Linked DNA regions of Oryzias latipes. The main gene of each other region encodes a partner of the protein of the gene in region 4 in a complex. Links are inferred from orthologs where the notes say so. Each region holds a gene or a part of one and is shown on either strand. Other genes may lie near its edges. The genes, in order: trappc12, trappc11, trappc8 and trappc9.

The links.
Region 1: trappc9 (region 4) and trappc12 share a complex: the UniProt entries of both Homo sapiens proteins name them as parts of the multisubunit TRAPP (transport protein particle) complex. The link is inferred for Oryzias latipes from reciprocal best matches to the Homo sapiens genes TRAPPC9 and TRAPPC12.
Region 2: trappc9 (region 4) and trappc11 share a complex: the UniProt entries of both Homo sapiens proteins name them as parts of the multisubunit TRAPP (transport protein particle) complex. The link is inferred for Oryzias latipes from reciprocal best matches to the Homo sapiens genes TRAPPC9 and TRAPPC11.
Region 3: trappc9 (region 4) and trappc8 share a complex: the UniProt entries of both Homo sapiens proteins name them as parts of the multisubunit TRAPP (transport protein particle) complex. The link is inferred for Oryzias latipes from reciprocal best matches to the Homo sapiens genes TRAPPC9 and TRAPPC8.

What each region holds. Positions count from the first base shown.
Region 1 is NC_019880.2:20,781,268-20,788,612, forward strand, and holds part of trappc12 (trafficking protein particle complex subunit 12), read left to right. Parts: coding exon 1-105; intron 106-3,086; coding exon 3,087-3,199; intron 3,200-3,315; coding exon 3,316-3,388; intron 3,389-4,165; coding exon 4,166-4,239; intron 4,240-6,978; coding exon 6,979-7,077; intron 7,078-7,345. UniProt on the Homo sapiens protein: Component of the TRAPP complex, which is involved in endoplasmic reticulum to Golgi apparatus trafficking at a very early stage.
Region 2 is NC_019868.2:27,378,373-27,385,309, reverse strand, and holds part of trappc11 (trafficking protein particle complex subunit 11), read right to left. Parts: intron 6,846-6,937; coding exon 6,767-6,845; intron 6,686-6,766; coding exon 6,631-6,685; intron 6,552-6,630; coding exon 6,406-6,551; intron 6,321-6,405; coding exon 6,259-6,320; intron 5,805-6,258; coding exon 5,672-5,804; intron 5,576-5,671; coding exon 5,445-5,575; intron 3,804-5,444; coding exon 3,678-3,803; intron 3,603-3,677; coding exon 3,409-3,602; intron 3,326-3,408; coding exon 3,177-3,325; intron 2,277-3,176; coding exon 2,155-2,276; intron 2,069-2,154; coding exon 1,949-2,068; intron 1,867-1,948; coding exon 1,801-1,866; intron 1,609-1,800; coding exon 1,452-1,608; intron 1,377-1,451; coding exon 1,265-1,376; intron 1,189-1,264; coding exon 1,097-1,188; intron 966-1,096; coding exon 832-965; intron 426-831; coding exon 258-425; intron 188-257; coding exon 143-187; 3' UTR 1-142. UniProt on the Homo sapiens protein: Involved in endoplasmic reticulum to Golgi apparatus trafficking at a very early stage.
Region 3 is NC_019862.2:1,512,460-1,520,236, reverse strand, and holds the start of trappc8 (trafficking protein particle complex subunit 8), read right to left. Parts: upstream 5,986-7,777; 5' UTR 5,908-5,985; coding exon 5,751-5,907; intron 4,127-5,750; coding exon 3,917-4,126; intron 3,577-3,916; coding exon 3,487-3,576; intron 969-3,486; coding exon 794-968; intron 1-793. UniProt on the Homo sapiens protein: Plays a role in endoplasmic reticulum to Golgi apparatus trafficking at a very early stage. Maintains together with TBC1D14 the cycling pool of ATG9 required for initiation of autophagy. Involved in collagen secretion.
Region 4 is NC_019869.2:24,206,605-24,213,949, reverse strand, and holds part of trappc9 (trafficking protein particle complex subunit 9), read right to left. Parts: intron 4,609-7,345; coding exon 4,482-4,608; intron 3,715-4,481; coding exon 3,582-3,714; intron 1,246-3,581; coding exon 1,085-1,245; intron 1-1,084. UniProt on the Homo sapiens protein: Functions as an activator of NF-kappa-B through increased phosphorylation of the IKK complex. May function in neuronal cells differentiation. May play a role in vesicular transport from endoplasmic reticulum to Golgi.

The DNA.
Region 1 (7,345 bases), on a different chromosome or scaffold from region 4:
TGAACCTTTTCCAAAATGCTGAGCTAGAGTTTGAACCCTTTGGCAACCTGGATCAGCCAGACCTGTATTACGAATACTACCCAGCTGTTTACCCCGGGAAGAGAGGTATGTGTAAAAACGTCGAACCTTCCCCCATCTGATGAGTGAAATTATATATGAAGGAATGACTTTCAAATTAGGTTAAAGACAGTGAGATTTCAAAGGTTACGCTCCTCAGTTCTACACTCAGACTTTAACTCTCGTCTCCTTTCATGTTCCATTTGTCTAAAACCTGCTAAATTCAAATGTTTGCTGAAAAAGTGTCATGAAGTAATTGCAGCACTATTGTTCTGCTCTCTAGGAGAATTTAGCCTCATACCCGCATTATTAACACTGCACCACAACTTTCTAATTAAATATTCACAGGAAAGTTTCTGCCAGGAGCTTCACATCAGACTGTATCATTGACAAACTTCAACAACTCTACTTGTCTCCAGCAGTTCTCTGGTTTTGTTTTTCCTCTTTTTACACTGCATGAATCGCTCTCTAATGTATTCCCATTACTTTGGATCTGCTTCACCCTCTGGCTACCACAATGAAGGCAGTATCAGAGATACAGCTGCACACACACACTTGTTCTTAAAAAAGAGCAGCGCTCAAAACGACATCGCACAGCCTTCTGACAAGCGCACCCATTGACTTTCCATTGCTCAATATTAAACCCTTTATGCCCACTGATTCCCCAGAGACAAACTGCTAAGTTGTGTAGTATAGGATCAGAAGTCCAACGTTTGTATTGTCTGATGCATGTGTAGGCTGTTTTTTTATCCCCAACAACCCTCTGTTAACGCGATAAAAGAAGGCTTATACCTGTGTCATCACCAAGAATTGAGAGTAACCCTTGTGCTATCTAAGGCCCTTTACCATTGGGAGTTGGGTCATCTAGACCCACTACTAGACAGTGCTCTGAACCTTTTTTCTCAAATGATTTGTGATCTTCACTGGTGTCCATGGATTACATGAAATCTTTCCACCTTTATCCACCTTTGTCATGGTAGGGAGAACACGTCAATGTAAGGGTGGGGTCATCTAAGATAGCACAAGGGTTAACTCAGCAAAAGCTTGCTCATCCCTCATTGTCTTGCTTTTGAAATAAAAACTGAGTTTAAAATGGACTGTTAAACAATGGCGCAGTAACGTCACTCAGAAATACACTCATTTAGCAGGTAAGCGTATAACAAACGGTAGTTTCAGTAAATCTTAGCAATAGTAATCAACCAACAAATTGCTGTTTCTGTTTACCAATATGCATTTCCAGCAGACTTTCTGCCTCTGCTGTGTTCAATTGTTAGACTGCAGACGCCCCAAAGGTGGCGCTAAATCAGGGACGTGTCGGGTACGGACAAAATGGAAGGAGATTTTCAAACAATGATCAAATTTTGTAAGTCTTAAATAAAACTTCACATTGGTTCCTAAAATGCAACCAGTGGTATAAGGATTCATTTTATTTACTGGCCTCAAATGGATCCAGATCATCTTTAGCCAAACAAACAAGTCAACTAGAATGAATGTCAAATCCATTCACATGTTAGTTTCCTAAAGTTCCCCACTGTTGTTTTTCCACATCCAAAGAATCCAAAGGGAACATTCTTAGAACATTCTAGACACTGGATGGTCACATGACTTTATTCAAAGTCTGTCCACACATTGGACTGGAATGATGGACTGATCCATTTTGTAAAGTAAACGTACCACGTTTCTATCTAAAACGGTATTTTCGGAGATCGATATAATGGATTTATTTCATTTACAACAATCTTTGTAACGGTTTAGGTGGATTCGGTTTAACAACTAGCCTCAAACAGATCGATCTGGTTGGATTGTTGGAATAGAAATCAATTAAGTGATTTCATCGTTACACCCCTGATTGCAGCCTACCAATGCTGCTAGATGATTTTTCTGTGAGGATTCTGTGTTGCTTTAAGTTGAAGCTGTTCTTGTCTTTGTGTAAAAGCTGCTTCAACATTTTAGGATTCTAACCAACGCCCCTTGACAGCTGAATTTATTTCCAGCCATAAAAAAAATCACTTATGTTTTTGCTTTCAAGTTGATGCTAAATTAAGGTTCCTTGTTTTTTGCAGAGTTTGGCCAGAGGCACAATTTATTTGTGATTTTAAAATAATAGTTAGGCTCATATAGTCATTATTTTCCCACTAATAACCGCTAGAGGGCAATGTAGATGTGCTTAGCAGAATATGCGACTGATAGAAGAAGAAGAAGAAGAATTGCCGCTGATACGCCTGATGCAAAACAAACATGGAGGACGCATGAATCGGCGTAAATCTGCTGGGCGTGTGTGACGTTCAGACGCGTCCCACTTTTCTCCCAAAAGGAAGATTATAGTCCGGAGGGACTTATCGTCCGTAAATACTATGATTTTGGAGCCCAAGTGCTTTAATGCATAATCGTATGGATAGGCTGAATGAATTAATGAATTGTGGAAACAAACTTTCTCAAATGTTTTTGACAAGTAAAAATGAACAGAATAATGTGCTAGCCCATTCACCAGTCAGCATGAACGACTCGAGGGTCTGAAACCCAGATGCTGTCACAAATGCAGGGGGGGGGGGGGGGGGGGGTTGTAGAGGAATGAGAGAGATTGCAGGCAGATTGGAATCTCAACCACAGCTGAAACTGTGATAAAAACCAAAAGGATGAGCGAGCTGGGTTTTAGATCAGATGACGGGATCAAAAAAGACTGCCATCAAAGCCCGAAGACTCACCTGAACACAGACTTTAGCTGAATGAGTGTGTGTGAAAACAGTGTGAATGATGCGGAGGCAGGCAGAGACAGAGGGATGAGTGATGGAGCGGTGCAGCACAGTAAGAGGGAGAGATGAGAGGCTTTAATAAGCAGCCATACGTAGCTCAATGCCATCTGTAGGTTCCTGCCTGCAGGGCTGTGTACAGTCTGTGTGTGGGTGGATGGGTTTATGCTCTCATCTCTGTCTCTCACTTCCATCCCTCTGTGTTTTCCTCCCTATATCTTCTGTTCTCTTCCTTTACCCCTTCCCTTCTTCATCCACCCATCTTCTTTTTTTGTCCAGGCTCGATGGTTCCGTTCTCCATGCGGCTGCTGCACGCTGAGCTCCCCCAGTACCTGGCCAAGCCCCAGGAGGCTCTGGACCGCCTTCACCACCTAGAAACGATCTGCCTCGCTGTTAGTAAAGCACAGAACATAATACCATGCTCAATCCTTTAGAAAGCGTATGGAGCTGCAGTTGTAGTACAGTAGTGGCAGAGAAGCAGTTGTCGATTCTTCTTCTTCCCCTTCAGATTTTAGATAACCTGGAAAAGGGCTTGGCTGAAGACGGCAGCATGGTCACCTTAACACAGGAAAACAGGCAAGGTAAGCACTCAGACACACCTGCTGCAGGACTGCAGCACATCCCAGCCTCACTCCAATGTGATGCTCTTAGTGTTTAGCACCTCGCTGCCCTGGAACTCGCACTGAATATCAAATGGATTTAGCAGCTCTGCACACCAGTCAGATCAATAGAAATCAATCCCACCAATCCAGCGATGTCTGCAAAAGTGCGTTAGGGAGATGAGCAGGTGTACACTCGCCACTCCCACAATCCCTTTCCTCTTTCTTTCTTTGCATCCACACATCATATAGCTCCTAGCATGTTTGCAACATGCATTTATCAGCTTAATAACTTGTTTCACTGGAACTAAATATAGACGTGTTTACACTGAGAGAATTAGCGAGGTAGCACATCTAGGAGTGCGTGTGCCTGAGGGGCTTTAAATGGAGCTCATTTGTCCCCATGCAGCATCACTGTAACGGCTGTGTCCTTTGTCTCTCCTGGCTCTGCCCACACAGTTGACAGTCAAGTCAATAACACGGGGCCATGCTATCACGCTTCAGAGCCCCACTGAGTGACTAGCCGCTCTCCCCAGCTCCCCTGCATCTGCAGCGGGGAATAGTAACAGGCCATTCAGATTCTGGATGCTGCAGTTCTGCTGCTTTTCATTAAAATAAAGCCGGTGCACAGCAGGCTTTAATGAGTGGGACGTGAAAGAAGTATGGGGGGGGGGGGCAAGAAACAAACACTTGGAATAAAAATAGAAAGTCGTGGCACCCCCTTATTTGGTCTCTTTTTTTTTATCTTCGTCTTGCTAGCGTCTCTAAAGCTGTGGAGGTCTCGTCTCAGCCGGGTCATGTACTCCATGGCCAACTGCCTGCTGCTGATGAAGGTAGGAGTGTGTGTTTGTCAGCTCTGTGTGACGGTGTGCTGGTGTGCACGTCGCCTTTGTGTGTGCGTGAGACAGAGTCTCCGAGATTTCTGATGCCAGGCAGTTGGAGGATTCACAGTGAAATCCCCACAGACTGACCACTAATTGGATTCTTGGTCAGTAAGAGAGAAAGCCGGTGGATGTGGGAGTGGAGGGGAGGTGTGGGCTCAGCTCTGACCCACAGAGAAACATACTGCCACCTGCTGGTGACGGTTGTTATTACACTCAGCTCGGCTTCAGTGACGGAACTTTCATATTTGACGTTGGGAAAGCGGCATCCAATATAAAATGATGTGCAAGTTATTCCAGAGATTAAGTAGCTACATCAACAAATTTGAATGTTCTCTTTGCTTTGAAGTCACCATTCTGCCAAAATCTTTAAAGAAGGGAAGACAACATGTCCGTAATTCACAACATAGCTTCAAGACCAATTTAAATGTTCTCACATTTACCTCCAGATTAAATAACAAACACAGCAGTTCTGTGTTTAGTCCAGAGGGTGAAAAAGTAAACTTTTAGAGATAAATTCTATACATTTTGTTGTAAAAACGCATAGAATTGTGGCATTGAGTCAGATACAGATACTACGCTTAATATGAGAGAAATATCTTTAGTATTCCCTCTACAAAGTCTGAATTTCAAAATAACATAAATACATCCTGTGGTGTTCTATATGATTATATTGTTCAAGATGGAAATACTGTTTTTGACGCAGAATCCCACCACAGCGCTGTGCTGTCATGCGGAGCTCACTGCTGTGATGTGGTAAAAAAGAGCGCTGAGAGGAATGTACGCTTTTCAGACAGTAACTCTGCAGTAATTAGTTACTGTAATGTACCACAAGAAATGTTGTATTTAATGGTGTTAGCCGGACCAAGACGTTCTGCTGTTGGACCCACAAATGGCTGTTGCTACGCAACACAAACAATGAGAACGTCAAACAATACTTAGACGTATCCGCTGCAGCATTCAGGATCACGCCACAGCCATGTTCCCTACTCAGATTGAGAAGTTTTCAAATTATATCATCATAATATGTTGCCAATACAGTAAAATACTAGATATAAATCAAGTTCATTATTACCTATGATGAGAAAAAGAACCAAAAGTTGTTCTTTCAGTTTGAATTAGCTTTAAGCTCGTGACACTCAAACTGTATTTTTTCTGATTCCCAGAGGTCCTTTAATTATGATTTTAAAGTTTTTGGCCAAAATAAAGAAAAAAACTGTCAATGGTTGAGACATTGAACGGCAGTGACTCAGGCGGTAGAGCGGGTCGTCCAATGTTTGAAGGGTTGGCGGTTCGATCCCCGCTCCCCCCAGCCAAGACAGGGCAAGACACTTCCCCCTCCCTGCCTCCAGCGTGGCTCCACTGGTGTGTGAATGTGCATGAATGTGATGGTCAGAGGGGCCGCAGACGGGAACTGGCAGCCCCGCCCCCATCAGTCTGCCCCGGGGCAGCTGTGGTACATCACTAGTCACCATCCCCAAGAATGAATGAATGATGGACACATTGGAAAAACTTTGAGCGTCTGGAAAAGCAGATAAATCTAATCTGTTCTTATTACTTCATATTTTCTGCAGAACAGCCGGAGTTCATTAGAAAGCTAACATTAGCGTAGCTAAAAACGGCGAGCGATAGCGGGGCTATGCAGCCGTACGGCTCTGAGCCAGATGTTCATGGAACTACAGTGTTCGCACAATATTCGCGGTTTGTGGCCCACTGGCTCAGAAGCGGCCTGAAAATATCCTGAAACGCTGAGGAAGATAATCACAGAGAATAATATCATCCAGCTGAATGAATGATGGAGGAAGACGAGCTCTGGCACTAAACTGATGAAGGAGGAAGAAGCAGGACGTGTTCCTGCACCAACAGTGACACTCCTAATGTTCTAAATGGACGCTACCGCACAGTCTATGGATCTAAATAAAAAACGCTTCATGTTGAGCAATCCGATGATTTACAAGCATCAGAAATGTTTCAGAAGGGTTTTGGATGAGGAAGGATCAGTGACGGACATTCTTCGGCCTATGGGTGGGGGGGGCTTCTCCATATTCAGGGGTGGTCCCTAAACCTCGTGAAAACGGAGGGGGGATACTGTGGACAAATACAAAACGTTGGATCAGAGTTGGAGTCTCACAAACCCGAGCTTTTTCAGTGTGGGGTTCATTGTTTGGTCCAAGGACGCCTTAACACATGGACGGGCAGGGCGGGAACCGAACCTGCGATGTTCCGATTAGAGGTTGACCACTCTACCTCTCCACTATGGCCACCGCAGGAGTGAAGACATGCTCAGCTCTGGGGACGTATTATTCCATGAAGTGGGTGGAATGGGAGTTAAAAGCTCTGCTGGATGCTTTTATCTGACTCAAATGTTGGTGTGAAGTCATTTTTAGGTGTCAGTAATGAACATGTTTCCAAATGTTGGTTTATCTGCAGTTTCTTGTGGACACCTGCCTGTGTGAACACCCTCTGCTCACCTTTGGTGCACCTATCATCAGCGCAGGGCTGCTCTGAAGGGAGGGGCTTCTCTGCCAGACCGCCATATGTTTAATGAATGCTCTCTCTCTCTCTCTCCCTGCCTCCACCAGCTCGCCCGCACACTGCCTCCTGACTTGACTGTTTGTCTTCTCAGCACTCTTGCTTATGTCCACGTTTCTTCTTCAGGAGTTTTTCTGACCTGCTTGTCCCTGTTCTCAGGACTACGTCCTGGCAGTGGAGACCTATCGCTCCATCGTCCAGTATGAACCCCAGCAGAGAGTGCAGCTGCTCAGCGGGATCGGGCGCATCTTCCTGCAGGTCGGCACATCACCAGATGGATGCTTCATCATATACTGTCCTTTTTTCCTGGGAGACATAAAAGTGAAAATCCTGGTTTCCAAAATCTGAGTAAGAAAATCATGTTTGATGGGAACCAGAGGCCTTCCACAACATCATCATCCTCATGCTCTTCATTTTGGTAACTGTGTGCTGTTATCTCTGAACTGGTAGGAAACTGTTGCCCTCACATCCATCCCATAAGGACCGTCCGTCTGGTTTGGGTCAAGGATGCGCTGCCCTCCTCTTT
Region 2 (6,937 bases), on a different chromosome or scaffold from region 4:
TGCTTTCATAGAGCGTTTTCACACCGTGATCCAAAACTAATAGTGTTTTAAAAATGACATTTCTGTGAAAACAAACCATCTCAAACAACAAAGACAGAGCTGCTTTGTTATTGTATTTACAGGGAATCGTTTTATTTTCTCCTCAAGCTGCAGCAATGGAGGCGTCCTCTGGCTGTCGACCCTGAGGCTGAAGACGGAGAAACACATTTAGGATTTGGACAAAAGCTTTGAATGTGAGCGCTTCTGCTGCGGGTTACCTTTACAAAGATCCGCTGTGGCAGGAAGCGTTTTAGTGCTTGTGTGTTGGAGCTCTGGCAGCGCGGCAGGTTGATGTTGAGCTGGGGTAGTGTTTGGTAGCCGGCCATGAGGGGGTAATAGTTATACAGCATTTGCTGTTCTGTGCCCGGGAGAATACGAAGACGCACCTGCACATCAACACGGCATCAAACCGGTTAATAAAGACGGTAAAAGAGCAGACGTTTCACCAAAACCTTTTCTGTAGAAGAGAATGAAGTCCCATTTCTTTTTCAGGATTTGTTGTTAAATGATCCAAAACAACAGTGATGATTATGTTTTGGTTACTAAGTTATTAACCAGGAAGTTGAGAGAAAAAACTTCCTGATTTTCTGTTATGTTTGGTTGATTCTCTTCTAAAGAAAGATATAAACGAGTAAATACATATTTGTATTTCCAAACATACAGTAAAAAGACAAACGTATAGCAACCATTTGAACATAATATGTGGACCAGTAAGAATGGTGGTTTGATATGTGAATCGCAGTCGAAGTAACGACTTACAGCCCTGAAAAATGGGTTCGGATCCGGCCGTACCTGTTTGAGTCCAGAGAACATGAAGGCGTCTGACGGTTCGACGGCCATCTCCACCTCCTGCACCAGAGATGTTCTGTTCTCGATGTGGTAACGGACTGGAAGAGACTCTCGGACTCGCCCGAACGACGGCAAGTCTGCTCTCAAACCAAAGCAGGAGGAAAAACGTGACAGCATTTTTTGTCAACAACACCGTTACTACACTCAAGGCAAAATATGTTGGAAAACAATGATGAAATCCCTACTTTGAGTCCAGGTCAACACCAACCTGCATAAATGTAGACGGGAACCGACTCCAGAATGATGTGAGGTAGAGTGACGGTCGTTTGGATGAGCGGACCGTCTGGATTGGAAGACTGCCTGTTTGGCAGAGAAAAAACCTCTGAAGATTCCTTAAAAACAACCTGTTCAAGCACGATAGTGGGCGTGAGCTTACCTCCTCCACGAGATGAGGTACTGTCCTGTGGCCACCGTGTTGTTGTCGTTGGTCCCCGGCGGACATCGCAGACAGAAGCACTCGGTGGCACACTCGGCCGTCTGCAGAACAACTGAGCACAGACATGGTGGTTCAACCAGAGGGCCGCTGCCTGGGGCAGATTTCACAGCAGAGGAGACTGCGGAACCTTCTTGAAGCTGCGACTGGAGCTGGGGCGTGTTGCTGGTCAGCGTGAGCAGCTGCAGAGACGAGGAGGCCAGCAGGAGAGGCCACGGAGACGACGAAACCACGTCCGTCAACAGCAGGAAGGGGATGTCCACTGCAACCCGGTCCAGCGGCTCAAACTGCAGAAGATCCCAGAATTCAAAGGGATTTGAAAAACTCCCGTTTGGACCAACAACCTCAACATGTTCCTGCTGATTTTTCACTACCAAACAGAATGTTTGAAATGCTGGCGTGGAAAAAAAAACCATCTCTAGAACAAGCAAAGGATGTGATCATAGTGTTTATAAAAGCAAAAACCATCAGCAACACACCTTTGTGGACACAAACTTGACAGATACGTCAAATGGAACCAGCGTGTCTATAGTGACCGTCTCATCCTGAACAGAAAACAGAAAAACCGAAGATCAATAATCCGTCAAAGACTGAAGGACTAAATCAAGAGGTGACCAGGTTCTCCACCTTGTGACATTTGCAGATAATCTGCCGTCCTTCCACTGCTGTTTCAACGCTGTAGGCCACGTGGAACAAGAAGACCCGGGGTCCAGTTGACCCACACCTGAAGTATATACATTTCTCCAGCTGGACACAGAAAGGAAAACCCTCAGCGGTTGTGAGGAGGACTGCGCTGGCAGCCGTGCAGCGTGTTCTGGTCTGCTTTTGTGTACCGTTCCGCCGGGTTGCAGGTCCCCCAGAGGCACATCGGGAAGCAGAGACGCAGCAGAATCGTCACAAACCTTGAAGGCGTCGAGGGTCACGTGGGTGGTCTGGCTGAGGTTAGCGTCCTGTCCTGGAGAAGGCAGGTGTGAAAGGACCATGAGGGGATTTGAAATGTCCACATCCCGTAAAGAAATGTCTCCCGTGTACCGGTACCACGGATCGGTACACGGGGACCATCCGGTACTTTCTTAAAGCAGCTGCTCCTGCCGCTGAACTGAAACCCTCAAGCTAGCAGAGTTAACAGAAAACAAAGTTCCTTTTGGCAGAAAAGAGCCAGAGCGGAAACAGAAGAAGAGCCTTGGACTTCAAAATAAAAGAAATCTGCATTTAACAGATAAAAACCAGGAGTCTTTACTCTTAAATATGGATTTATTCTGACAAATGTTCCTACAGACCATGATAATAATGTATAATATTCAGGGACCAGCTGTTTGGGGTTTCGTGGATGCTGCTAATAAAGTTGTTCATACGGCGGATTCACATTTATGATTATATTTGGAAAATACCTGTTTTAGGTATTTTATAAAACAATTAACAATTAATTTATCTTTTAGAAATTAAAAGTCAGGTGAGACTAACGATTTTTTTAGCTTCCACTTTGACAGTTATGGGTTAAGGGTAAATTTTTATCACATTTAAATAGTTCCAACACAAAATCTAGAGTGCAAATAAAGTTGAAAGCAGCTGCAGATATTTAACAGAGGACGAAAATAAACTTCACCCTGAAAGGTTAAGAGAAACTGGAAGCTAAAGAGAAGTAAAAAGATAATATTGGATAAGCCCTTTTAGCCTCATAAACCCAGTCCATGAAAATATTGTCCGACATTGAGCCGCTGGAGAAGAAGAAAGAACTACAAGAAACAGCGACTGGTGTGTTTAGGTTGGAAGCTTCTGTTGCTGGAAGCCGGTTTGTTTTGTGTGATCACAGAATCCACGGACGATCAGGGATTCTTGTGCCGTTTGTCTTTACCTGGCTTCAGACCCGTTGTCAGCTGCACATCTCTGGCCACGGCGTCCTCCTGTGATTGGACGGCGAGGCGGATGCAGTACATCTCGTTGGTGAGGATGGGAGGCTGGTGGCTCAGAACCACGGAGATCTTTGGGACTCTGGAGATGATCCTGCACAGAAACAAAAGCAGTGCAGGGATGAAACCAAGTGCTTCCTGCCGCTGGATTGTTCCGGTTCCTAACGAGTCGCCTACATGGTGCTGTTCTGCAGAGTGATGCCGTCCCAGTCGAGCTCCGGATGCGCCTCGTTGCCGCGCGCCCAGCGCCGCGAGGACCTGCTGGACTGCAGGGCTTCGTGAGCGGAGGCGGCGTCTCCCCCTGCCCCCCTCCAGCTCAGGAACACGCAGCGGCCGTTGTCACTGCCCATCATCAGCTCGATGCCCGTTATCTGCATCATCGACATCGGTTAACCGCCGCTCTCCAGCTCTAAGTTTCCCCGTCACGCACACAGACCGCGGCTTACCTCAATCTTCTTCCCAACATCCTCCGTCTTTGCCACAAAGCTAAAACGGTAGCGTTTGGGTTTCCCCGGCAACAGCGTCATGTCCTCCTGACCGGATGATTCAGCCACACACCACTGGTTGTACTCCTGCAAGAACAAAAACAATCGTTTTGACATCAAGCTGACGGACGAAAGATTCTTTCAAAATTTCTAATTATTACAGATGAATCTCCATCACAGACAGTTCAACCACCATCCTCATCGAACCGCGACATCTCAGCCGGTTTTCCTCAAGGGGAAAAAAACCCTCACTTTTGATCAAAGACCTAAACCCTTTTGACTTCCTGTTTAAATAAAGGTGTGAGGAACAAAGGAGTAATGGAAGGGGCGATGGTGATGTTCTTGACAGAAATGGGGATGATCCTGTTTGAGCGCCACAATAAAACTTCTTTTAAAAGCATTTAGAGAAGATAAACGTTCAAGTTCATTCTTTGCTTCTTAAGTTTGTTTCTGCAGTTTAGGAGCCAATGCAGTAAAAAAAAAATAACAACAAAATCTAACAACATCACTTAAAAAAACCACCAGCTTTTGGAGCAAAGTTTGCCGTATTCACATTTGATTTTAACTCGTCTTAAACCTGTTAAACAACATTAAAACGAGCAGCATCAGAAGGACACTTTGTTTCAAATCTAAAGGAAAAAGAATTCAAATAAACACATGAGCTGCCACCTTTACAGCATATACAACAAGACATTTGTAACGTGTCTGTGTTTGTCTGTAAAGGTAATAAAAAATATCACTTTTTTTAATAACCTTCTTATTTTACTTACCAAAAAGCTGGCATTTTGAGGTAACCCTAATCTACCTTAACAGAACACAAGACTTTATGACTTCAAATGCATAAGAATGTGTAAAACTTTCTCCACGTTTCTCTACACAACCAGGCTTTAGCAGCTCCTGGGTTGCTGTCCGTGGTGCTGAAATGAGGGGAGCAGACCACCTGCTTCATTGATGATGTGTTTATCAATTAAAACTCATCAATAACTGTATGGTCAAACAATCTGTCTGCATAGATGAGCTCCTTTTTCAATTTTTTTTTGCAACAGCAAGGTGTAAAAGCATTGCTGGTGTGGTAGAAATACAAAATTAAAAACAAAACCCCCCAAACTATCTAAACTATGCTAAACTTTATAATTTCTTTATAATCTACTCTATAATTTTTTAACATTTATATAATCAGCCTTAAAATGATCAGTTTTTCAGACAGATGCCATCATACGGGCATCCTTTTGGCCCTGCAGTGTGCTCTGGTACCCCTGGTTAGAAAGCACAGACGTAAAAATAAAATCCTATAATAAGATCCTCCCACCCCTTCTTTATATGATATTTCAGAAGGATGTCGTTTCATTCTGTGGGTTAAGGAAGGGTGTATTTCTATGATTGTTGGGTTCTTTTTTTGTTTATAAAAAATATCTTTCTGCTCTTTTGGTTTTAGGATGTAATCATACAGGAAGAATTCAGTGGAAACAAGGCAGCTGCAATCCTGTCACTGTTAGTTTTGACGTGTTTAAACCAATAAAATGTGCTTCTCAATCCAGTTTCATGCACAACTGTCACTGTGCAAAATGTGCACCGTAAATGTTAAACCGATAATGAACAGAAACACCCGAAGGATCTGCGATTAAACATCAAAAATTCAGCTTTTGTGACAGCAAAGTTACGTTTATGAAACTAAAACGGACGAATCGGTTTAAACCTGGACGCCCCGGTTTGTTGTCTGGACTTTACCTGGTTGCTCAGGCTGACTGACAGCTTGTTGAAGGACACGGGATGAGGACAGTCGGCCCGGACAAAGACCTGCAGCTGGATGGGCTGGTCCACATGGAAACTGGGAGACTGGAATTTAGCCTTACATTGGACTGATGGAGGAGAACATCAAAAATGAAAACAAACACATTTGGGATTTTTAAATCATCGTGAAAAGGTTATCCTTTAAGGTTGGAGAGTTTCCTGACTGAATGGGATGTAGTCCTGAACTTCTATCGTCATCTCATTGGACCCAGCCAGAGCCATGCGGTCGGTCCACAGCGACCTGGCAGCGCCGACAGAAGACGGGTCACAGTCCGGCTCGGGTTCAGGCACGTCGTTCTGAAAACGACATAACCAAAAATAATAATAATAATAATGGATTGGATTTATCTGCGCTTTTCATGACACTCAAAGCGCTTACATTGTGTCCATTATTCATTCACTCCTCATTCATACTTGGTGACGGTAAGCTATGGTTGTAGCCACAGCTGCCCTGGGGCAGACTGACAGAGGCGTGGCTGCCATTTCGCGCCTACGGCCCCTCTGACCATCACCGGGAACATTCATGTACATTCACACACCAGTGGAGCCACACTGAAGGCAAGGAGGGTGAAGTGTCTTGCCCAAGGACACAACGACATTTTGGCTGGTGGGAGCGGGGATCGAACCGCCAACCCTTCGGTCATTGGACGACCCGCTCAATCACCTGAGCTACTGTTGCCCCTAAAACACACATGGAGGAATCCTGATCCTGATGAAGACTTTGTTTTGGCCGTAAATGTGTTTTGCTCACCATCAAAACTTTGAGGAGGTTCTTCTCAATCCTCGACTTTTGCTCCTCCTTCAAATCAGAGGCTGCGACACAAACGTTCACAAAATGAAGCGCTCCTGTTGTCGTGTGCGCGTCGGACGGCAGGAGTGTTGAGAACGGATGACTGACCTCTGCCCAGCAGCTCCATGCAGTAGAGGATGTAGTCCTTCACGCTGGCCATCAGATAAGCGCAGCGCAGAGCGGTGCTCAGGATGTCGGTCAGCAGAGCGCACCATCGCTCCGTGCGATAATCACACATCACATAGTCCAGCAGCCTGGTAACAGCACACACAGTTCATCGGCTTTCACCCGACTCCGGCATGACGGGTTCAACTTGAGCTGCGCTGGACTTACTTAAAGGCTTTGGTGTAATCTTTTGCATGATAGTATTCCTCTCCCATCTGCACCACTGTGACGACAACAGACAGCACAAAAAAAATGTTAAAAACATTTTTTTAATAACAGGAAACCTGAAAGTGTTTCTACGTACTCAGGTGACTCTTCATTCGAGGGCACTTGTACTTCTTGAATTGGGCCACAGCGTTACCGAGGAGCGCTATAATCAGCTCCTGACAGTGAAACACAGAGAGGGAAGCAGCTTTTACGGCATAAAATTACATTTATTCTTTATTGATCTGTAGCCTTTGCTGTCTGGCAACTG
Region 3 (7,777 bases), on a different chromosome or scaffold from region 4:
CGGGGGTATGGGTGTGGGGGTAGCTGGGCGCTCCTCCTCCTTCTTTTCACATTCCACCATCCATTTTAGAAGAACATAAACACTCACCTGAGCACAGGTGTTAGCTCACCTTTGCACTAATAGTTTGCATGATTGAATGAATGAAAGATTTCACACTAGTTGGTTTAAAGGCATAGGTATGCGTTCGTGAACACTATCTGTTTTGTGTGCATGTTGACATGTGGACATTTTTGCGGCTAGCAGGTGTGTTGATAATATTTGAGTGTGTGTGAACAGGCCCCGCCCTTTTTGTACTACATTTGAACCGTACCGTAACGATAAACAACCAGTAAACCTGTCTGCTCTATGCTGCTTCATGGTCTTACCCCCCTTCCCCTCCTATTATCACCCTCCTACCCCCCCCTCTCTCTAACGTCCCTCTCTCTTCTTCCCCTCTTTCCTTTTCCGTCCGGTCCAACACCAAAGATTTTCAAACATGATTGAAATTAATAAATTTTGGCCTCAATTACAAAAGGGGTTTATTCAGACATACCTTTGGTTTGTCTGAAGATGAATAACCCCTCTTGTTAAAATAAAATATGTCCAACACAAGAGGCCCTCAGCTCTCATCTGTTTGCCTAGCTGTTGGACAGGACAAGTTAAAAAAATAAAAATAAAAAAATAAAAAAATAAAAAAAAAAAATTTAGTTTAAGGGGTCTATTCAAATACACACCTTGTGTGTCAGAAGATTCATAACCCCTTTGTATCAGTAAAATATGTCCCACAGAAAAAGCCTTCAGCCCCCCTCAGTACCTCTGTTCATCCCCCTCGCTCAGGTCGTGCAGCAGGACGTAGTACTTCAGAGTGTTGGGGATGAACCATCTGGGGTGAGTGTATTCTCCACTGTGCTGGATTCTGTGCTGCTCCTGGGAAAGCTTTAGGAACTGCTCCACAGGGACAGCCTCAGTGGAGGACACCACCAGCAGACCTGGAGGGCTGAGGTCAAGGAAGCTTGCAGAAGATGGAGAACAGATCTACAGCATGGTAGAGGATGATAGCTACAAGAGGAAGCCAGCAGGTTTATCTCAACTTTGGATTACCCAGCTCTGTGGCCAGAGGGGGCAGCATCTGCTCTGACTGGGAGATTTATGAACCCACAGTCAGGTGATCAGAGAGATTTGGGAGGGTTGCCTTACCTCCAGCCCTAATTTCTGTTGGCTATTTTAATGTAGATCTAGTCTACAGATGGCGGGAAGATATTTACTGCAAATGTTTAAACCCTTTAACACCTGAGTAGTCACCTAAAAAACACACGTTATTTGCCAAACGAAACTCTATATGATGGATGTGAACAGTCTTGTCTGCTAGCATAATTTAAAAATAATATACTTAAATGTTCCAAAGAATGATAAAACTGGGATTGATCAAACAGCTTTTAGTAATCAAAGGACTACTAAAATTCGGAGGGAACCAGCTACTAGATGGTTCGATTAGTATTTCACCATCTTTAAAATCTTTCCTTCAAAATTTCTGAAAATATGGCCAAGTATCTGCTCTAATTTACTAAATGACTGCATCATCCTCGTGCTTTGACCCAACAGCAGCATTTGACACAATTGATCGTAACAGTGTTTCCTGTTTAGAACATGGGTGGAGGTTGGAGGCATTGCACTCCAGTGATTTGGGTCTTATTTCCAAGGTAAGACCTTTTGTGTCCGCTCTGGTGACCCTGTGGCCTTGTCTGGGATTATTGAGGGGAGTTTTTAGACATTTTAAATCTTGCCATAAAAAAATTCCCTTCGCATGCTGTATTAACATGGAAGCTAATCCTAACCCTACAGCAGGAGCTGCATCTGGATGACGGACACTTTCAGCAGTACTTCTGTCTCTCTGGTCATGGCTCAAAGCCGAGTCTCTGATTGGTTGATGCGACGTGTCTTCTTCACCAAAGTTTAGATATTTGAACTTTGGATGTGCACGGAATGAACTGCAATGCCCGAAACACACTGCTGACTGATTGACACGCCAGGCCTGACACTTAAAACCCTCTGGTCGCATCTGTACATTGACTGAACATCGAAACTGTTTGCCCCGATGTGCAAATCTCGCTCCGTGTGAACGCAGCTTTAAGCTGGATTCCCAGATTAAGGTCTATTGTAAAATCAGGCCTTTAACCAAAAGACAAAATGCCAAAGTTAAGGCCCGTACACACCGGGACGAATATTCGCCAGGCGTTATTCGCCAGCGTTTTTCGCCACGTTTTTTGTGTTCACACCCAGGCGATTTTCGCTGACGATGAGTGGAGTGAACATGCAATTTCATTCCCTGACATTAGATGGCGCTTAATGTAAAACAGAAATACTCCTGTACACAAGGTGGCGCTGCGCAACTTTACGCTTCTTAAAGTCGCTTTTCACTCAGAAGAAGAGAGCAAGTACTTACGCGCTTGTCAGAATCAAACAAAGAAAACATGAATATTTCAAGCACCAGTAGCTCCAACTGGTGCTTGGTTCGGGGATATTTTAGAATGTCCGTCATTATTGCTTCGCGGCTGTGTAGACGCTACTTGGCGTCTATCTTCTTCGCTGGTATGTGTGCTCAGTAAGGCAGTTTTGTGTTTGAGCGCCCCCAAGTTGTGTTTTACTGTAACTTCAGAAGCTCCAGACACGTGAGCAAAAGCGCCATTCTCATTGGTCGAGTAGATTTCGACGCGACGCGTCGAAAAAAAAAAACGAACCCGAGGCGTTTTTTTTTTCTGACGCTTTGTCGCGTGGCGTTTTTTCGCGTCGGTGTGCACACTCTCATTGGGGCCCTTTGTTTAGTCACGAGGCGTTAAACGTCGGCGAAAATCGCCGGCGAAATTCGTCCCGGTGTGAACAGGCCTTTAAACCAATCATCTCTGGGCAACGCCTTCAGCCATTAACCCATGCCATGGACCATAGGCTTCACTTACTGCAGTGCTGTGTGTGTGGAGGGTCAGTAAACCTTCTGTGGTTTGTCTCCAGCTAGTTCAAACCGTTGTTGCATGCAGTTTAGTGATCATGTCACTTCCCATTTTCACTTCACTGACGGCCTGTGCATTTTAAACTCTTTTCTTTTTAAACCAAAAAACAGCCAGGATCCTTCCCAACTCCACCAAACACCCGTTCAGACATGAGAAAGCAGCCTCTCATTTCTGGACCAAGCTTTTCCTGTGGCAACTCCTAAGCTGCAGAAAGACGTTCCAATGAACATCCGGCAGGCATCAGCTCTGTTTTTAATTCAACTTTTACTGCTTTTCTTCCCACTGATTTCTAAAATCCCTCTCCAATCATCTTTTGATCTATATTCAGACTGTTTACCCCATAGTTCAAGTATCAGTGCCTTCTGATAATAGCTTTTAGGCTTTAGTTTTAGCTTGGCCCCGTTTTGAAAAGCAAACCTGGCATGGTTTCATCCATTTCCAAAGGAAGTGAGTATGCTCAGCGGTGCTAACCTCTTCAGAAGCTAACCCTTCTCAAGGATACAGGCTAGGTAGTGATTCAGGAACTCGTGCTCAGAAGCAGGCATGGACTGCAGGAAATTCTCCCTGTAGGCCTCGAACCACGGAGTGGTAACTGAAACAAAACACTGCAGTTAATATTTGAAAACACTGATCAGACAGAAATACTAAAACTGCTTCTGCGTGGTTCTGGTTCTGATCGACTGACATTCACACAACCCCTGAAGTCTGCTCTGTAATGCAGACTCCAGAGGGACACTGAAACCTAGAGGAGTTAAAGGTCAAAGCAGTAGGAAGGAAGGACCTTAAAATCCAGTATGGAACCAGCTCTGCAGAGAACTGCAGACGCATGGGTTCATCTAACAACCACATCAATTCCAGAAACCAGCTTGCTCAACAGAACTCAGTCCAATCCTGCTAAATCTGCAGAAAAATCCTCACAACCAGATCCTCACCACTCAAGTTCAGGTTGTAGTCTCCTGTTTTAAAGCTAGTGGCTGCAGCCCCCTCCAGCGGCTGGCAGGATGACACCACCTCGCCAAGCTGCCGGTACTGGGCCGGGCTGAGAACAGCAGGGGAGGAAACTGGGTTTGTGGTCACCGCATTGACACAGATGCGTAGGTTTTTCACAGTCTGCAGCTGGTTGTTGGGGTCCCTGATGTGACCTGCAAAAAACATCAAGAACAGCATCTCACAACAAGATTTGTGGCTAAAGAAGACAGAAAATAGGAAAAGCTGACGGTGAAACTCTCTCCCCTATAGCCAACGAAGCAAAGTAATATTTTCACAGATGAGGGTGTAAATTCAGTCTGATGAATATGTTTAACGTGGACAGGTTACTGAAAACTGTAAACTCAGACTGACAGGGTCCCTGTGATCTCAAATTGAGTTTCGCAGGAGATGCTATGAAGATGTAAAAAGTTCTTGGGAAAGAATAATTCATGACATGTACATGATGACAGTAGACCAGGGAGCCTCCAGAGCCACATGTGGCTCTCTTATTCCTCCATTGTTGATCTTTGGCTTTAAGCAAAAATGGTAACATTTTAATTGGTAGGAAATTAGCTAGTTAAGCTCATATTCTAATCTATGCAGCACAATAACATCTAAATGTTGACATAATAGAAAATTCCGTGTTTAACCTTCATTTTAATTTAACTAAATCTGTTGCAGTAGGAGGTTCCTGAACTTTAATCTTAAAGGAACTCATGCATGCTGCTGTCAAGGTAAAACATTTAAAGGCCGATATCCTGCTTTTCTTAAGCCTTTTATAGTAAACTATATCCATACATATTATAATATATTAGCTTTGGCACACTAAAGAACGTTTTTTTAATTAGTTATTTTCATGAACTCTTTTCATATCTGGAAGTAAAATGACTCGATCTCTGAAGCTCTCTGAATTATTTTATTCAAATCATTGTGAATCAGTAGCAGATGAGAAAAATTTGTAGTTGTTCGGTACAAACTGGGCCTCAAGCTCTCCGCTTTGCTCCATTCTGATGATCCACTGTCAGACCAACAGATGGAATCTGAGCTGGAATCTGGATCAGAACTGGAGGACTGCCACTCTGCAGAAACTATGTTCTAGAAAAAGACACGGGCTTTTGGATTTTAGCTAAAAACTGCATAACCATAATTCATAACCATAATTAGACTGGGAAAATAGATTAAAAGATGTTCAGAGGGAGAATTTTAAAGTTGTTATTTGTAGAAAAATAGGAGACTTTTATAATTCAAGTGTTGTAAATATTTAAAAGCTACAGTTCATCAATGAATTGCCTAATGGCCACAAAACAGAGAGATTCTTTTTTCTAAAAGGTTAAATGGGATTTGGTAGGTGTCGTTGGATTTTGGTTGGTAAGAAACTGGACCTAAGGGCTCTTGTGGAGGTAAAGGTTGCAGAGCCCTGGAGAAGAGCAGCAGATGAAAACCAGCCAGATGACAGCAGCCGGAGGCAGCAAAACATGGATGAGGCCGTCAAAGACCAGATTCACGGACAACCAAGGAACAGAAGCACCTTAGTTTTCACAGTAAACATGTCCACACAGAACTGGATCAGAACCGGGCTCAAAACAAACCAGAAACTGTTACTATTGAGAAGAAGAGAGCCAGACTGGATCAGATAAGACTTAAGAGCCAGAACTGTTTTCGTAAGTCCCCGAAGGTCCTGAGCGACCCTAGTTGCTGTGACAAACGTCTGGTTCGGTTCTGGCTGCAGGACAGACTCCAGGCACTGCTGGGTCTGCATCCGAACACGGCCGAACGAAGCCTGATTCGGACCCATACCTTCGGAGAGGAGCCTGCAGAAAGGCCGCAGCAGCTCCGGGAAGCTCAGCTTGTTCTTTCGGGAAACTCTGTCCGCCTCTTTGCTGCACAGGACGGCGACCATCGGGACGAAGGAGTCCTGGAGGAACTCCTGAACGGACTGAACGCACTGCGCCATCTCCACAAACACCGAGAGGGATACACTTCACACGACAGCCATGACACTCTTCTTCTTCCGGTGTAGGGCTGATGCGGTCAGCTGACGCTGCGGGAACCAATCAGAATCTTCTCTCCGTTCATTGACCAACGTCAGCGTGCGTCTGTCTGTCTGTCTGTCTGTCTGTCTGTCTGTCTGTCTGTCTGCATTTTTTTTTTTTGTTTTGTTTTTTTGTGTACTTTAAAAAAGTCCCGGTGATCATTCAAATCTTTTCCCAGATTTTGGTTCTAACATTTTTCAAGAACTACAAAAACAAGAACTTCAAACAGGCTGGGTTCTAACTTTATCATTTTTAAATTTCCTTTTTATTTAAGTTTCCTTTTTTTAATTGCCTTAGGGATAATTAAAGACCTATTCTATTCTGATCATGAAAACCAGAAGATGAGCTGCAAATAAAAGTAGAAAAACCACAAAGTGTCACAGACATGATCCGTTTAGTTTATGTGTTTGTCATGATATCACCAGTCTGTTCTTCTTCTGACTTTATCCACTAACATTACAGAGAAAAACAGTGGGGAAGCATTAAATATGAACTTTTTTTTTTATTTTGTTTGTAAGTCAAACCCCAACAGCAATATTGGGCACAAAGCAGCAAAGTCTGTGGGAGTAAATTTACGAGATTTCTTTTCATAAATCTACGACTTAAAATGTCGTAATTTTACTTTTTTTTTTGGTGGCTCTAAAACTCCGTGGTATAACTGCATCAAATGACTCAAAATGAAAATGAAAAATCAATCCTCCAAAATGCTTTTTCATACTTAAAACTACTTAAAAACCGCTTAATATTTATGTCGTAATTAAAGCGAAAATGCAAAGAGGGCATTGCTTTTTCATTTTCACATCCACCCTGTGAATAGTGTTGCATTATTCAATTCTACTTAGCATTTCCAGCGGGGAGGCGGGGCGATGACATCAGTGCTCTTTCCGTGTGTCCAGCTGCTAAGAGGCACAGACAGGCTAGGAACAGTGCGGACAGGCTTGTAGCTTTGTGTTAGCAGCAGAGGACAGGGCTTTGTGACGGCTGTGCGTTCCTGATGACTGTACACAGCTTCTCAGGACTACGTAGCAGCATTTCCGCCTTCCGCGGTTCTCCTGTCGATACTTCCCCGGTCTAGCTTTATCTTCATACCGGCAGCCCCCTCGGCGTAGCCGTAGCTGGCCCGTGATGCCCTGCAATTCAAACTCCGCATCTCCCATGGAAATGATTCTGCCATCATCCACCACTGTTGTCTTCTGTGAACGTCCAGGTCTTTTTGTGTTCAGTTCACCAGAGCTTTCTTTCTTTCTCAGGATGTACCACACTGTTGATGTTGCCACTCATAATACTGTAGCATTTCTAGCATTGTTTTTTTCTGTTTTCTCAGCTTAATGATGGCTCCTTTCACCTGCATGGAGAGCTCCTTTCATCGCATGTTGTCTGTTCACGGCAAAACCTTCCAAATGCAGCACGAGTCCTCTAATCAACTCCAGGCCTTTTATCTGCTTCACTCATAATGACATAAGGGAATTGCCCTCACCTGCCCATGCAATAGCATGGAAGTCAATTGTCCAATTACTTATGAGCTCATGAAATGAAGGGATTGTGTTTAAAAAATGCTTTAGTTTTTCACATTTTTATGCAATCTTTTTTTTCAACCCATAGAATAAAAGCTGAAAGTCTGCACTTCAATTACATCTGAATGGTTTTATTTAAAATTCTCTGTGGTAATGTACAGAAACTAAATTAGCAAGAATGTGTCTCTGTCCAACTATTAAGAATATAAAGTTGAAGAGGCCCGAGCTGGCTGCCTCCCCATGCCCCAACTGCTGTCCCATCTACCCACCGGGCTGC
Region 4 (7,345 bases):
TTTGATCTTTTGTTATAAAACATTAAAAAAAATGCTTGTTCTTAATTCCTGTGAAAAAAAGTCTACATTTACCGATCCAAATTGATTTTTTGGGCAGTTTCATGTTTATTGTGCAATTATTAAATAATATTATTTAAAAAATATATCAGTAAAAAATAAGCTGGGTTGCACTAAAAAGACCACAGAAAACAGATTTAAACATAAATTAATAGAGCAAATTGTAATGAAGAAAAAAACTTTAAAAAGCCGCCAGACTACTAGGGTTACATATTTTCATACTAAAATAATAATGTAAACGGAAACAGAGCCTCTTTCTAACCCTTGTGCTATCCTATGGGGTCACAATGACAAAGGTGGATAAAGGTGGAAAGATTTCATGTAATCCATGGACACCAGTGAAGATCACAAATCATTGAAGAAAAAAGGTTCAGAGCACGGTCTAGTGGGTCTAGATGACCCAACTCCCAATGGTAAAGTGTCTAGGATAGCACAAGGGATAAAGGTGTCAATTAAAAAGGCTACCATAAAGAGCAACGTTTGGATGGACATAATATCGACTGTCCCAAAGACACACGAGGACTGTTGGTTATCTGTATGACTTTATAAAAACACGTCATGTGGTAAATCATCATCCGGCTGTGATATCTGCCAATATCTGCCGCTGTTCATCAGAAATCTATTATGAGGAAGGGATTGTAGACAAGCTAATGGCACAGAAGAGCTTCTGAGGCATCACGGGGCACAACGCCCAGAGCTCCATCAATGCTACACGTTTCCATTTATCACTGCAGAAAACCATCTCAGCTCTTCCTGGAGATGTCTCTGTGCTTCAGACAGAGCAGGAAGAGAAAGTGCTGGGATATGACCTGGTGTTGAATACAAAGAGTCCCTGAGGTTTGAAAGATGAGGAGAGGCTTTCATGGCTGCATCAGTAGGGGAAGTTCAAGCTGCTGTTGTTCTCACGTGTCTATTTTTTCTATTTTTCATCTGTTTTTGCCAATTATTTCCATTTAATGTGCAGAGAGGATGAATGACAAAAGGCTACAGCAGCAAACGCAGACACTGCAGGATTTCTTATTCTTACCTTTGTTGCTGTTCTTGGAGGTGAGCTCCAGAGTCTCGATGTCTATGGATCCGATGTTCTCCAAGGTGATGGTGAGCTGCTGCAACTCCCCATTGAAAAGCTGGACGGACACGGAGCTGGGCAGCTCCTCTTTGGACGTGGCCTGAGAGCTGTGAGTCGACCTGATCCAGAATGGACAAAGACAAAAATGTGATCCACGTTTAAGCTTTAGAAGTCAATTTAATCTTTGATATCCACCACAAAAATCCAAAGAGGGTTCAAAAAGTTCATGTCTAATCAAAGTTTTAGCAGAAAGGTTATGTTTTCCAAAGATTGAAAAGAAATTATATTCAAGCTCAGAGGCTGTCAAACATGGAGGGGGAAGCATTATGGTGCTACTGGGTCCAGAATTGGTGACACTGGTGTTTGTCGGCTAGTCGGAAAAAATGGGGAAAAAAAAGACCTAAAACAGAAATCCAAGCCATAAGGCTCCGTTCAGATACATAAAACAAAGATCTCCATAGAAAACTTTGGGTATTAAACTACCCCCAACGGGGCTCACAGGTGGAAGGAGGGTGGGGTGAGGAAGGCAGAGCTCGCAGAAATGGAAGAAGAGGATTGAACCGCACACCTGGAACTTAAGTAGGACGCTGAACAGGTGAGTTGATTAGACTGAACTAGAGAGGTGCATTGGGATTGAGTCCTGCCGGGTCCCACGGGACCCAACGCAAGTCTCACGGGAGCGGGCAGTTTAAATTCTGCTGCGGGCGGGAATGGGGTGGCTAAAAAAAACACAGCGGGATAGGGAAGTTGCCAAGCGATGAATGAGTACATGATAATGAATACATGATAAATGCAAAGAGGATAAATAATAAATACAAGCAAAATATGCCATTAATGCATTATGAATGTGTGGTGGTTCGACCTCAAACCACCACATAGGTGTTAGTATTTCTTTATTTTTTCTTTAAATTAAAACGTTAATTTTACTTTGTTTACTTAAAATGAATTAACAATTTGATTGGTTTTAAGTGAGAAAAAGTTGTTTGTTTTCTGAGTTTCCATCTCAGGTGAGCCATCCACAGTAATCAGCAGAGGAGATTGGGAAATTCCACTGGGGAACTGCAGGGGTTGCCAACTCTCCTCATGGACTTCATTTTGCTTATTTAAAGGAAATGATTTAGTCCACTTTTTCTTGAAGACTACTTTTGTATTATATGAATTTTGTTTGGTGTCTGTTTCCCTGTTTTGTAATCAGATTAATTAGTTTGAATGTTTGATTAGTTAGTTTCCTCTCCCTCATGTGTCCAGTATGGGTTTTCCCTGTCTATAAAGCTTTCCCAGTGTGTCAGTTTAATGGCTAAGTCTGGTCAGGCCTGTTCAGTTTAGTCCCGCTTGTTTTGTTTCATTTAGTTATGTTTTCAGTTGGGCCCAAATTACTTTATTTTTGAAACTATTCTGTTTTGTACCTTTTTTATCTTCCTTTACAAAGAAAAACTCTACAAAAAAAAACATATTAAAAGATCTTGCAAGATACACCTATTTTTGTCCATTGACTAATTGTGAACCTTCACAGAATGCATATGGAAAGCATGGTGAATGCATACAAATTCATAAGAAATACATGATGGAGGGATGATAAATGCACATTACATACATGATAAATGTATGTGAACATGTAGTGATAGAATGATGACTGGTTTGTGGATGGTGAATGTGTATGCTAAGTGCATGCTACATTCTTTTGTCATGCAAGGCGAAAACATAACACACTACTTGGCTGAACTGCCCAATTCAGAAAAGTTAGAAAGAAAAAAATCAGAGATTTCCTATTTTTGACTCTACAGATCCATTTTACAGACAAAAAAGTATCTTGTGTGAAAAGTTTAGAATAAATTTGTATAAAGCCCTTATTAAAGACACAGACAGAGGGTTTACTGAGCACATTGGATCCTTACAGAGTTAGGAAAGCACAGCTCCAGGCTAATTTTGGGAATGGAACAGCACAGGGCTGCAGTTTGCCTGAACAGAAACAGAGCCACCTCAGAGCGCTTCCAGCTTTGAAGTGTGTGGCGTGAAAACACCCCGAAGACCTCGTCTTACTTTTGTCATTGATGTGCCTCATCTGTCTGCTGCTCTAATACTTCAAGGCCACAGAACAAAAAGGTTCTTCCACATCAAAAGCTGCTGATCTGCTGCACTCAGATGTGACTTCGGCAGCAGTGGGTCACCTGAACATCATTCGGCAGAATTTAAAACCAACATTCAAAAAAAACAAAAGTATTGTTCAAGTAGTTGCTTATGAAAACTGTAAAAGGGTCTTTAAACTGAAAATGACACTTTCGTGCTTCACTGAAAACATTATGGGACGGATTTTCAGTTTTCTTCACGTTCGCATCTTTGAACCATACATCATTTCTGCTGTGAGTAGAGAATGACGTGTTGCTGCATAAAGACGGGCTGTGTTTGTGAAAATGATGAGGGTGAAGCTGCAGGGGGGGGGGGGGGGGAGTCTAACCTTGGCAGCGATGTGCTGAGCTGCAGGCGTGGCAGAGAAGGAATAACCTCCACCAAACAGCCACTGGCCTTCACACCGACCAAGTCCTCCAGCAGGCAGTCGCTGGACACGCCAAACACAGACGTGTGGTAACCTGCCAATCCAAGCAGACAGGAAGCAGATGAATCCATGAAGTGTGTGTGTGGGAGGGGGGGGTAACATTTAAAGGGTTCATTTCATGCAAAATCTACTTTTTGAGCTTTTAAGTGCACTATAATGTTAATTTCTCATGATAAACCACCCCAAAGCGGCATCTTGATCCATTCACATATTTTTGAGAATTCCTCTAAACCTGCGCTCTGAGCACCAGCCCCTCCCAACCCATGAAAACAAGCAGATTCTCACACTGACATCACAAAGTGAGGAACAGCCCTTTCCAGGAAGAGTCTGTGCTGGCAGCCCCGCCCCCAGACTAAAATACACACCCACTTTCTCCTTGGAGCTAGCGGTGATCGGCTAAACGCTTGCCTAAAAGGCATCTTTGCAAAAGTTTGGATGTTGTTTGTTTTCGCTGCTGAGGCCGGCTCTGCAGAAACTACGTTCTATAAAACTACATGGGTTTTTTGATTTTGGCTAAAAACGGCATAATCATAATTAAAAGACCTTTGGGATCGATTTGAAAATAGATCAGAAGATGACCGGAGTGGGTCTTTAAAAAGCTCATCTTGTAAAGACAAAACTGATAGGTAATTGATCAATTATAGCATTGGAAATGAGCAGATTGCACGTGGCAGATGTGGATCGGTCATCATGTGTTGCTTGCTTATGACCCACTGATGTCAACAGGTGACCGGCACAATGGTTCTGCTCAGCATGAGTCAGTGTGGAAGAGTCGTGCAGCGGCTCATCAGCTGGACTGACCGTTGACGGTGATGTTGCCGGCCGTGCGTGGGACCCCCACCAGGGTGACGGGGTACAGGCCGGACTCGGCGGGCAGGAAGAGAGCTGCAGGCAGAGACTCGAACTCCACTCCAGAAGTCAGCAAACCCTGAGTGCAGCACAGGATGAAGCAGAAGTCAAACAGATAACCCAACTGAACCAGAACCAGGAAACAAAAACATGCTGGAAATGAGTGTTTCCTGCTCTGGTTTGTTTGTCCCTTTGCAGAAAGAACCCTTCTTCAGATCTCATTGCATCTCAGAGAAGATTTGGAGTGATTCCTCATCTTAAGCCGCCTCCCCTCTGTGTTCTGCAGATAAAATCTCTGTCTGCATTACACTGCAGGAAATCACTGCACGGCTGAGAGGTGACTGGAAATCAGTCTCACAGAAGAAAGAGGGATCATGGGAACTGGAACCTCTTCCAACTCACTCTGAGCGTGACAGACAGCAGAACCTCCTCTGTAAACGCCTTCAACAGACTGACATGGAGACATCAAACAACCTGACCTTAAACCACAACAGCCAACCGGGAGTTTAGTCTTTATGGTTGATTTGCAGCTTTTTATCAGATTTTTTTAATCATTGAGAATGAATCTGAAAATTAAATTTGATGACAGATCTGCTGCTCCTACTTTCAGAAGGGTGGCAGTCTTTGAGCAAAAGGACTTTTTCTGCATCATAACCCAGAGAACAACAGCATTTGCATTCCCCGTGCGCAACAAGCAGACGGAGCTGACGTAATGATCACATCAGTCCCGAACAGCAGACGCTACCTCACTGTAGAGGGATCTGCTGAGGAGCTGAGCCTCAGAGGCGCTGTAGCTGTGATTTAAGCGCTGCCCGCTTTCACTCCGGGGGGCAGCACGCCGTTATTAAACCCCACAAACTCAGCTTTCCCTAATGGAAACAGCTCGTTTTGAAAAGGTCAATGATTCGGTTTCAGCACAAAAAAAGTGCAGAACAAAATGCTTAAGTCGGCATCTGCAGCCTTTCTATCCACTCAGAGAAGGCGTAGCTTTAGGAAGCATCGTGGACTTGAAAGAATTGAAAGTCAGACAGCCACAACACTGCAGACATTAAAGCTGGAGTTTTCCTTTAAGACTTTCTGTTCCTTTCATGTGGGACTCTTCAGGGTGAGTGTTTTGGCTGACTTTACAGGAGCGAATGCCTGAGAAGGCCCGGTGAAATATTTGTTAGCTTGACATTGCTGACTGATCATTTCTGGGCATCAAAACTGAATTAAATGGCTGGGGGTAGAGAAAAGACACAAACTTAACAGAAAAAGCCTGAAAGCTGATGTCTGACATGAGTAGGATAAAGTGACTTCCATGACACAAAACTTTGACCTTCTTTAGGTTTGAGAGTTCATGGTCCCTCACAGCAGCAGACCTGCATCTGGCAGCTTTACGCCCCTCTATGACTCCACACCCCAGCAGAGGTGCTGTGCCTTTCACCTCATCTGGTCTGTCCAATGGAATCCGCTGATGCTAGCATCAGCAACGTTCCTCCTTTGTTTCATTTGGATTGTTTTAGCTTTAAAACAGGTACAAAACAGACTCCTCCTCTTCAGGTCAGACAGTTTAGGTTTATTCTTGATTTTAAAAAAAAAACATATTTTTTAAATATTTTGAGACAGGAAACAGATATTTATGTAAATTCCTTCCACGTGTTGTGAAGGAAAGCAGAAATCCACAGTTTGGGGCTGAAAAACAAATAAGTTGTTTCAGCAGCAACAACAAAAAAAGCATTGAACCACTGATTCCTGTTAAGTAACATCAGGGACTTCATTGACAAAAATGAAGGTTCAGGTTTGGCTAAATTAATTTGGGAATGATTGAATGTTTTGGAACAACTAAGGAATCAAATTTGGAAACAAACAACAATTCAAGGAAAAACTTTAGGAATGACTTCAGAAAAAATCTTGTCTAGGTGTTCATTGACTGAGGGAGGATCCACAAAAAAAGACACTTGAGTTTGGATGTTTATGTTCACCTCATCACAGGGTCCATACACTTTTTTTAACCATGGTGTTCCATAACTTTTCCGACCCTTTTCCATTAACTTTAACTGAATTTTCAAAACTAAAAACAAACACATTTTAGTGAGACTATTGTAGTCGGTGCCGCTATATAGATAAAAAACACAGGTGACCTTCGTTTAAATTTTAGAGGTATTTTCCTCCTTAAGTTCTGAAGAACTACAAACTAGCTGACTTCATCTGCTCATGAAAACTAGAAGAAGAACTGCATTTAAAAGTGAAAAGCATAGACGTGATCAGTTTAGTTTATGTGCTTGTCACAATATCACCAGTCTGTTTTGCTCTTCCTTCTGACTTTATCCACAAATATTACAGAGAAAAATGGTGGATGCAGTTCTATTGACCAGTATGAACTGTTTATTTTTGTGATTACAGCCGGAGTTTGCCTAGATGTGAAGCTGCAGAGGCAGGCGGAGATCGTCAATAAAATACATGAAAACACCCCAGACAAACAATAGCAGTTTCTCAGTAACTCACCATAAATAACCTCAAACACATCACATTCAAGTAATGCAGGTATTAGACGCATCCCTATCGCTTTAGGCCTAAAACTGTTCTAGCTCATTAAAAAATGATAGCAAATATCAGAAAAAAATGTTTTCGAAGTTGACAAAGTCGACCACACAAACAACGTCCATCCAGCAGGTCACCCACAGACTTTGCTGCTTTGTGCCTGATATTATTGTTGTTAGGACTGAATCATCATAAATAAAGCCTGCTTGTAGTTCTTTGCTTTTGCACGCTTCTGATCAGGGTCTTTCAGTAGCCACAGTTCTCATTGTTAAAGCAACATTTCCCTGACATCA